Coturnix japonica: one gene and its partner. The main gene of each other region encodes a partner of the protein of the gene in region 2 in a complex. Links are inferred from orthologs where the notes say so. Each region holds a gene or a part of one and is shown on either strand. Other genes may lie near its edges.

The links.
Region 1: BICD2 (region 2) and BICDL1 share a complex: the UniProt entries of both Homo sapiens proteins name them as parts of the tripartite complex. The link is inferred for Coturnix japonica from reciprocal best matches to the Homo sapiens genes BICD2 and BICDL1.

Annotation. Positions count from the first base shown.
Region 1 is NC_029530.1:8,432,761-8,436,579, forward strand, and holds part of BICDL1 (BICD family-like cargo adapter 1), read right to left. Parts: intron 3,469-3,819; coding exon 3,338-3,468; intron 806-3,337; coding exon 685-805; intron 1-684. UniProt on the Homo sapiens protein: Acts as an adapter protein linking the dynein motor complex to various cargos and converts dynein from a non-processive to a highly processive motor in the presence of dynactin.
Region 2 is NC_029527.1:4,839,836-4,843,646, forward strand, and holds part of BICD2 (protein bicaudal D homolog 2), read right to left. Parts: intron 599-3,811; coding exon 292-598; 3' UTR 1-291. UniProt on the Homo sapiens protein: Acts as an adapter protein linking the dynein motor complex to various cargos and converts dynein from a non-processive to a highly processive motor in the presence of dynactin.

The DNA of each region.
Region 1 (3,819 bases), on a different chromosome or scaffold from region 2:
GAGAAAGGCCACTAGATCAGAAACCAAAGGAGCCAGATAGTAAAAAGCCCTGAGGAAGCAAACTGTAAGCAGGAGAAAGAGAAGAAGAAAAAAGAAACGAAAACACGGTGGAGTTGAAACAGGAGTGAGGTTGTATGGGAGAGGTTTCTACCGGTCAGGTTGGATGGTAGTAGAGTTGGGGTCTTGCAGGGTCTGCACCAATTTCCTGTAACTGACCCGGACCTTTTCTCTTGTATCTGCTCATTTTCTAATAGTCATGCTCCCTCAGTGCCAGTTTCTCAGAGGACTCAGCTTTGTCTGCCATCCAGGCTCTCTGCTTGGCACGGGTCTGTCCCACTGACCCTAAGAACATCTCTGGGGCATCTGCCCTCACCTGCTGTGGGTTTGGGATTCCATTATTTATGTATTTATTCATTTTACCTTGATTGAAAGCTCTCATTTTAGCTTTTCCATCGTGCCGCATCTTCCGCGTTGACAAAAAACAGTGCTATGCAGTAGAGCAATGACCACAACCTCCCCACCTCCCACCTTCTGCTCGGCTATAGGAACAGATGTGCTGCATCTGCGTATCTCGATGCTGAGGCTGCCCAGGGGGCATCCTCAACGTGGAGACCCAGGTGGGTTCCTCTGCTGTGTACTCTGAATGCCCTCAAACCCTGCCCTGCTGCAGTGGGCACTGCTCACCTGCCAGGCCTCCAGCTGCTGCGAGAGGTTCACCTTCTGCTGGATGGCATCCAGCAACTGGCTGTTGAGGGACATCATGTCAATCTTGCACTTGGCCAGCTCCACCTCCACAGCGTTCTTCCTGGGGGGAGAGCAAGAAATGGGACTTTTCACTTTATTATTGTTTTAAGGAAATATTGAACGTACCCCTCGGAAGTCAACAGGTTATTTATTTTGGTCTAGAAGGGGTGTCAAAAGAAAGAAGGGGACAGCAGGGTCTGTGTGGTAGGACAAAGGAAAATGGTTCCAAATGGAAAGGAGAGGTTTAGATTGTGTATAAGGAAGAAGTTGCTTACAGTGAGGTGCCCAGGGAGGCGGTGGTGCCCCATCCCTACAGACACCCAGTATCAGGGAATGGGGCTGTGAGCACTAATGGAGCTGTGGGTGTCCCTGTGCACAGTGGGGGAGTTGGACCAGATGCCCTTTAAAGGTCCCTTCTGACTCAGACCATTCTGTGATTCTATTTAATTGGCAAGTCCCTAAATCCTAAGCAGCTTTCCATTGTATTCTGGTCTACTTATCAGAATTGTGTCTATTTATTGTTGTGACATTGTATTGTGTTTATTTATCAGAAGAGTGGGCCAGAACTGCAGACATCCTTACCATAAGATGAGCAGATTTTAGGTAACAACACCATGAAAAATAGGAACAGATATTCAATCATGCTGCTCTACAGAATCATATTGTATATCTGAACAACATGCAGGACCCACCATCAAAAATGGAGGACTAAAATGAGTTACATGTTTGCATTTCTTCTGTTTGCTGATGTATGGGAAATGAAATAGAATGCTCTAAAAAACAAAGACCCTCCCTGTGCTCAGCTGAGCAGCAAGTTTCAATATGGAAAAATAACCCTGCAAGAAGTACAACTCTGCTCTCAGTTTCTAGAGATGGTGCTTGGGCTGAGCAAAGGACCTGGCCACAAACCTGGAGTTACTGATTAACTGCTGTGCGATGGGAAACCATAATGTGACTTGCTGGGAACCATTTTTCCTTGAAAATATTTTGGGGAAGAATCACTGCATTTTGTGAACTATCTCTAACCCATCACTTCCTAACAGCTCCCTCACACTCCCCTGCAGAAGAGCAATGTGGGTATCTGTGTTTATATCCCAGGTAGCGATTGCTGAACGCTTCCTATTCTGGAACTCTCTTTTCCTATTGCTTCCCATGTTTGCCAATCTTCAGCTTTGAGCTCAATGTTTTCCATGCCAGATGTCTGCTGCAGGCGGTGATTTTATTTGCGTGCAGTGTTGGGTTGGTTGGTTGCTTTTTTTGGGGGGAAGCACTTCCACAGCCGTGATTTAACCCTTAAGGTGCAGGTGGGCAGAGCAGTGCATGCCTGGTGGGCAGCTCACTGCTGTGCAGCATCCCCTCTGTCTGCAAGGGAATGCTTTCATTTCTAGCATCTATATGCTGTCTCCTTTCACTTGCAGCTACTGCTCATTAATCACCCACCACTCATCCGTGCACACTTGTCACGTCCCCTCCCTCTGGGCTTTATAGGGTCATTAAGCACTGTGGAGAAGCCGTACCCTTCTGCTCCTGGTTGTGGGTCTGAGCACCTGAAATAGCCTTTTGCTCTGAAGCTCCTCACTGCTGCTTGTGGATATTACAGTGGGATTTACTGCATGTTGCCATAGCCACAGCAAGAGCCAGCAGCCCACACGCACAGGAAATGTCAGAACGACGTCCCTGCACCCGGCTGTGCAGCTGGGATGCTCCTGCTTTATGCCAACAGATGGAGGTGTAACAGAGGGCAGTAATGGGAATTTGGAAGCTGGATATCTGGGCAAGAGCAGCATGGGTGAGCCAGTTCATTTAAGAAAAGATGCAGGGTCTCTGCATGGAGATTTAGCTCCCTGCATCCTCGGAGCTGCAATGCTCTCACCTCCTATTCCCACAAGCACCTGAGTATTAGATGTGTCTGTAAGGGGATATACTGGTGGTGTTCTGGCCACCTCATATGGAAGAGATTATCAGGCCTATCCCTTCTACCTAGAGGACGGGGGATGAATTGTTCTGCCTGTTCTTCGTGAGGGAAATTACTGAGGGTTGCACTGTTCTGCAGCATTGCAGGGCAGCTCAGCAAGGTGCAGAGCCAATGGAGGAGGTACAGGATATGGGGCAGCAAAATGGCAGAGGGCTGTGAGGGGGAAGATGGGGAAAAATAAAGATTCAAAACAGTGGGAGAGTTCTGACCAGAGAAAAAGAGAATTATGGGAGTGGAGATGCAAAAAAGACCCTGGAACAGGAATGGAGAGAGAGTGAGCAGAGGAATGTTTTAGAGATGAGGTCCAGGAAAGGCTGCAATAGAGATGGGCAGGGAAGCAAGTCTGGAAGAGCAAAAGAAGAAAAAGGAATAGGGCAGAGCTAGGGGTTGCATTTGTTTCCCTAAAGCCTTCTAGTGCCACTCACCAGCACCATGATGGCAAAATCAGGGCTCACAGCATCCCCTGGAAGGCCCCTGGTCCTGCCCTGGGGTAGCTCCTAAGAGCTCCTGAGCTCCTCCAGCATTTCCCATCAGCAGCAGGGCTCAGACTGGCCACCCTGGAGGCAACATGCTCCTGTACCCCTAGCCCAGCCTGGCTCAGGCTGTGTCCCCACTCACTTGGCGATGGCCTCGTCCCGATCCCGGATGGCCTGCAGGAGCCGTTCGCTCGTCTCCTTGTCTTCTGCAGCGCCCCGCAGCCGGTCCCGCTCCTCCTTCAGTGTTGTCATCTCCACGCTCAGCAGTGTGACCTGCACTCATGGGGGAGAGTGGAACACCCAGGGTGAGCACAGTGCAAGGGGGGTGCAAAACAAGCCAGGGGGCAACTAGAGACTGAGGTGCCGTGACTGTAGAAGCTACAAGTATCATCTAGCAACAAGAGGGATTGTTTTTCCTGGTATATTTGTTTAGGAGGGGGAACAGTTACATCATTGTGTCTTCTGAAGCAGTGTGAAGCTGAGGACAGGGGATGTGCAAGTTCCCTTTCGCACCATGGAAGGTGTTACTGGCACGTCTTACAATTTTAATTAGACTTCAAAATGTGTGCAGAGCCTCAAACGGTCTGAGAAATGATCCATTGGTTTGGTCCTGCGCAGAGCGAG
Region 2 (3,811 bases):
AGTAACACCAGATAGAATATATCAGGTGTACTCTTAACACTTACCATAAACAGCAAAACCCACACACGTTAATTGTGGAAAAAGCTACTTCCTTTCCACCATTAACTCGTTAATACCATCCCCGTACTTATGAATTAGTTACAGTTAAGACCACCATAATACAACTTGTATTACCTGGTTTAACAACTTACTAGTACAAGTCAACTCACCGCGACATTAGATAGTGGGGATTTACGCTGACAATTACAGCATAAAATAAGATGCATAATATGGTTTTTCTACACACCTCTCCTAGTCACAATAGATTTTATATTTTTCGCTACAAAACACCTGGTTATTAAGGACAGGTCCTTCGGGCCTGTCTCCACAAGAGCGAATATGACTTACAGTAGGGTTACTGCTCTTGGCTTTGGAAGCAGATTTTGTGCGCACCCTTTTGGACTGCTCATGGTCCAGCTCCAAGTGCTCCAGGCGCTGTGTCAGTGCCAGTTTCTGCTGGATTGCCATCCGAAGCAACGAGTTTAGAGTCTTCTTCTCATCTTCAGCTGCTGCGAGCTGCCGCTGCATTTCATCCAGCTGTGTGACATATTCGTCACATCTGCAATGAAATATATCAATCTTTAGCAATCTTGTTTCCATCTATAAAACATGAATCCCTCTTGCCTGGCAGATATCAGGGCATCCTCATAGTTTTGTGGTTGCTCGCATACAGCCTTAAATAGGAACTTCAGTCAATACAACTACTTTCAGTGGGGTTCTTATAGTCCCATACTCAGCATTTACATTCATGCCTTTCAGTGCAGCACGACTATGGGTGCCTCTGTATAACTGAAGTATGGAGCCTGATGTATAAGGGTAGGACATCCTGCAGCCCCTCTGCCCAACAGTGCACAGACATAATGCAGTCAATTTACTTTTGTCTCCACTTACACAGAGACCGCATCCATTCTAACTTTCGGGTAGCAAAGGGAGTCAGAGGGGAGCAGGAGGAGTGCTGTAATATGGCCATTAGCGCAGCGGCTATTAATGCTCTTCAAAGAGCCCCTGTGCTTCACAGGCTGTTTAGTCACCCACAGAGTACAGGAACCCATTCCCAGAGGTGACTGAACAACACTGTTATTAAGATACATCTTTAATAATTTTAGTTTAACCTACTCTGTGTCTCCTGATGGAAGAAGAAAAAAAACAACCCTATAATGAGTGTTTTATTACTGCTTTTTCTACAGCAAGTTGCTTTTATACGATAGTTTTCACCACCAAAATTAATTTTGACCCAATTAAACAACACAACTGGGTGTTACAAGAACCCCTCAGGGGAGGCCATACAGATGCCTGTTGGAAGCTACATGGCTCGCATGGTGCACCGTGAGCAATTTGAAAATGTCTGTCTTTATGTGTATATAGATAAACATTTACTGCACACAGAAGAACTACAAACATGGGTAGAAAGAGAACAATCACAGGGAATGGCTGGAATCTATAATGGCCACATCTGTAAAACACAACTGCTTCATAAAAGCAACAAGATCTGCAAAGAAGTTCCTCCCAGCACCAAAATGGAAAAGTCCCTGAGGCTACAGGACATTCACCATCATTAAACAGCATAAAGGAGACTGGAGGGAAAAAAAACACCCACACTGAACAAAACCACATTCACATGCAGATTTGTCAGCTGTGCTTATACAATGAACTTCCCCACTCTGTTCTCCCCGACTTCAAGCAGCAGGATTAGGCCTTATTCTTAACCAATTATTATTATTTTTTTCTTGGGAAGAGAACAAAGGAAAGGAAAAAACACGGATTTTATTTTGGAATACATATGGACATCATACAGTAACCCAGAAACATGTATGTGAAATCTGCATACTGCAAATGTAGCTTAGCCTAATAGAAGGATTTGAGTTTAGGGCTGCTGCGTGCAGGAACCTCCACATAAATCTCTGCATGCTGCTGAACCACAGTGGAAATCCTCAGAGAGTTCATGGTGAGCTCAGCAAAAACAGAACAACAAAACAACCAAGCTTAGGAACCCTAAATGTGCTACAATCCTATTGCTTGCTGCTTTCAGATTTAGAGGGACGTCACAAGGCAAAACAAGTCCATGCACCTCTGTGAGTGCAAGCAGAGAGGAAGACAGGTAGGAATAGCCCTGGGAAGCCTGAGAAGAAATAAGTCTTGCAGCCATACCAGTCCTCCTTGCTCTCTTATGGAAGGTGGCACCTGGTACCAGCTTCATATGAGAACCAGGCTGCAAGAACGCACAGCTCGTAACATCTCTGCTCACCCTGTGCCCTGTTGCTTTAGTTTGTTAGAAATGCATTTTCTTCATCTGCGGGCTGGAACAAGGCACAGACTAAAGACAGAGGGCTGAGGGCTGCTGGGTTTCCCTCCGGTTTTTAAATGCTCTTGTGACATTCGAGGTGAAAAGTGCTAAGCCTAGTCATTTGTGCCAAACCTGATAGCATGGACAAGCACTTGCCATAGTCCAGGAGCCACAAAGTAGTTTGTATGTGAGCTGAGCTATAATTAAAGCCCTGAATTTGACTCCCAAAGGTTACTGTAGCAAGTCAGTACATCAACACATTTTCTGTATGTAGCGCAAAGGTTCAAAATATCCAGTGATTGCCTTGAAAAATGAAGCATTCAATACATCAAATGCCCCCATCACCTTTCTCCATATAACCCTACGAAGGCAGCTTTTCCTTCCTGCTCAACAAAAGGGAGTGTTATCAATAGCATACAAACAGCTGCAATTTTCACTAAACTTGAATTCTTCTGTGTGCGAGAGGACACGGGAGAGGCAGGAACTCTACTATGGCTGCACACCGCTGTGCAGCCTGAATCTGTTTCCCTGATCTTTAACTAAGATGAAATGATACAGCATCAAAAACAAACCTTACCCTGGTACAAGCGTGGCTGCCCTCAGTCAGGGGAGCAATACGTAACATAAAACACTGCAACAGTTGCTTTGAATCAAATAAATGAGGACTGAGACGTGGATGGGAGAGCAGGCGCAGTGTGTGCAGGTGGATCTGCCCTTCTTCCCATCCTACTGCTCACTCACTTCCCATTTCATTTCCTCACACAAGTTGCTTCCCCAGGCATTGCAGCCCAACACAGCCCGCAGAGCTGCTCTGCTCAGTGCAGAGCTACCAGTGGTAGCAGCAGCCCATACAGTGTGCTTTTGTGGTACATCTAGCTGTATTTCTGCTGCTTTGCACATAGAACAATAAAATAACCTTCCTTTCCACAGCCTCATTTGCCACGTGCTCAGCTACTTCCCAGCTGTATTATTCTCAATGCAAAATCATCAGAAGATCAAAACACAAAGCACCTTTGTTTTAAAAACGCTTTTGAAAACAGAATCGAGCTCTCGTGCTTCAAAGAATATGAAATCAGCATAAGGCTGTTGTGCGATCACACATCCATGTTTCTAAGTGGATGCTGAACAGAACCTTTTGACGTTGCCTATTTTCTTGGGGTTGGTAACAAACAACAACAGAACGAAGACTTTAAGGAAACACTCGCTTGATTCTAAAAACAACCAACTACAAAAACAAATACCTACACAGTGGAAATAAGAGTCCTGAACATTAAATATTACCACAGGAAAAGGCTGCACATCACTACCTCTGATCAGTGCCAGTTTTTCCTTATTCCTACTTATTACCTTCTTTAAACCTCGGCACGTGGTCCCATTTATAGCTGAACTCACTACTGACTCAAGATCGTTCTGCAAATAAGTGATGTAACCAAATGCACCTGGATATAATTAAACCTCCCACCCCTCCCCTGCAGTCAGTGTGAGGCC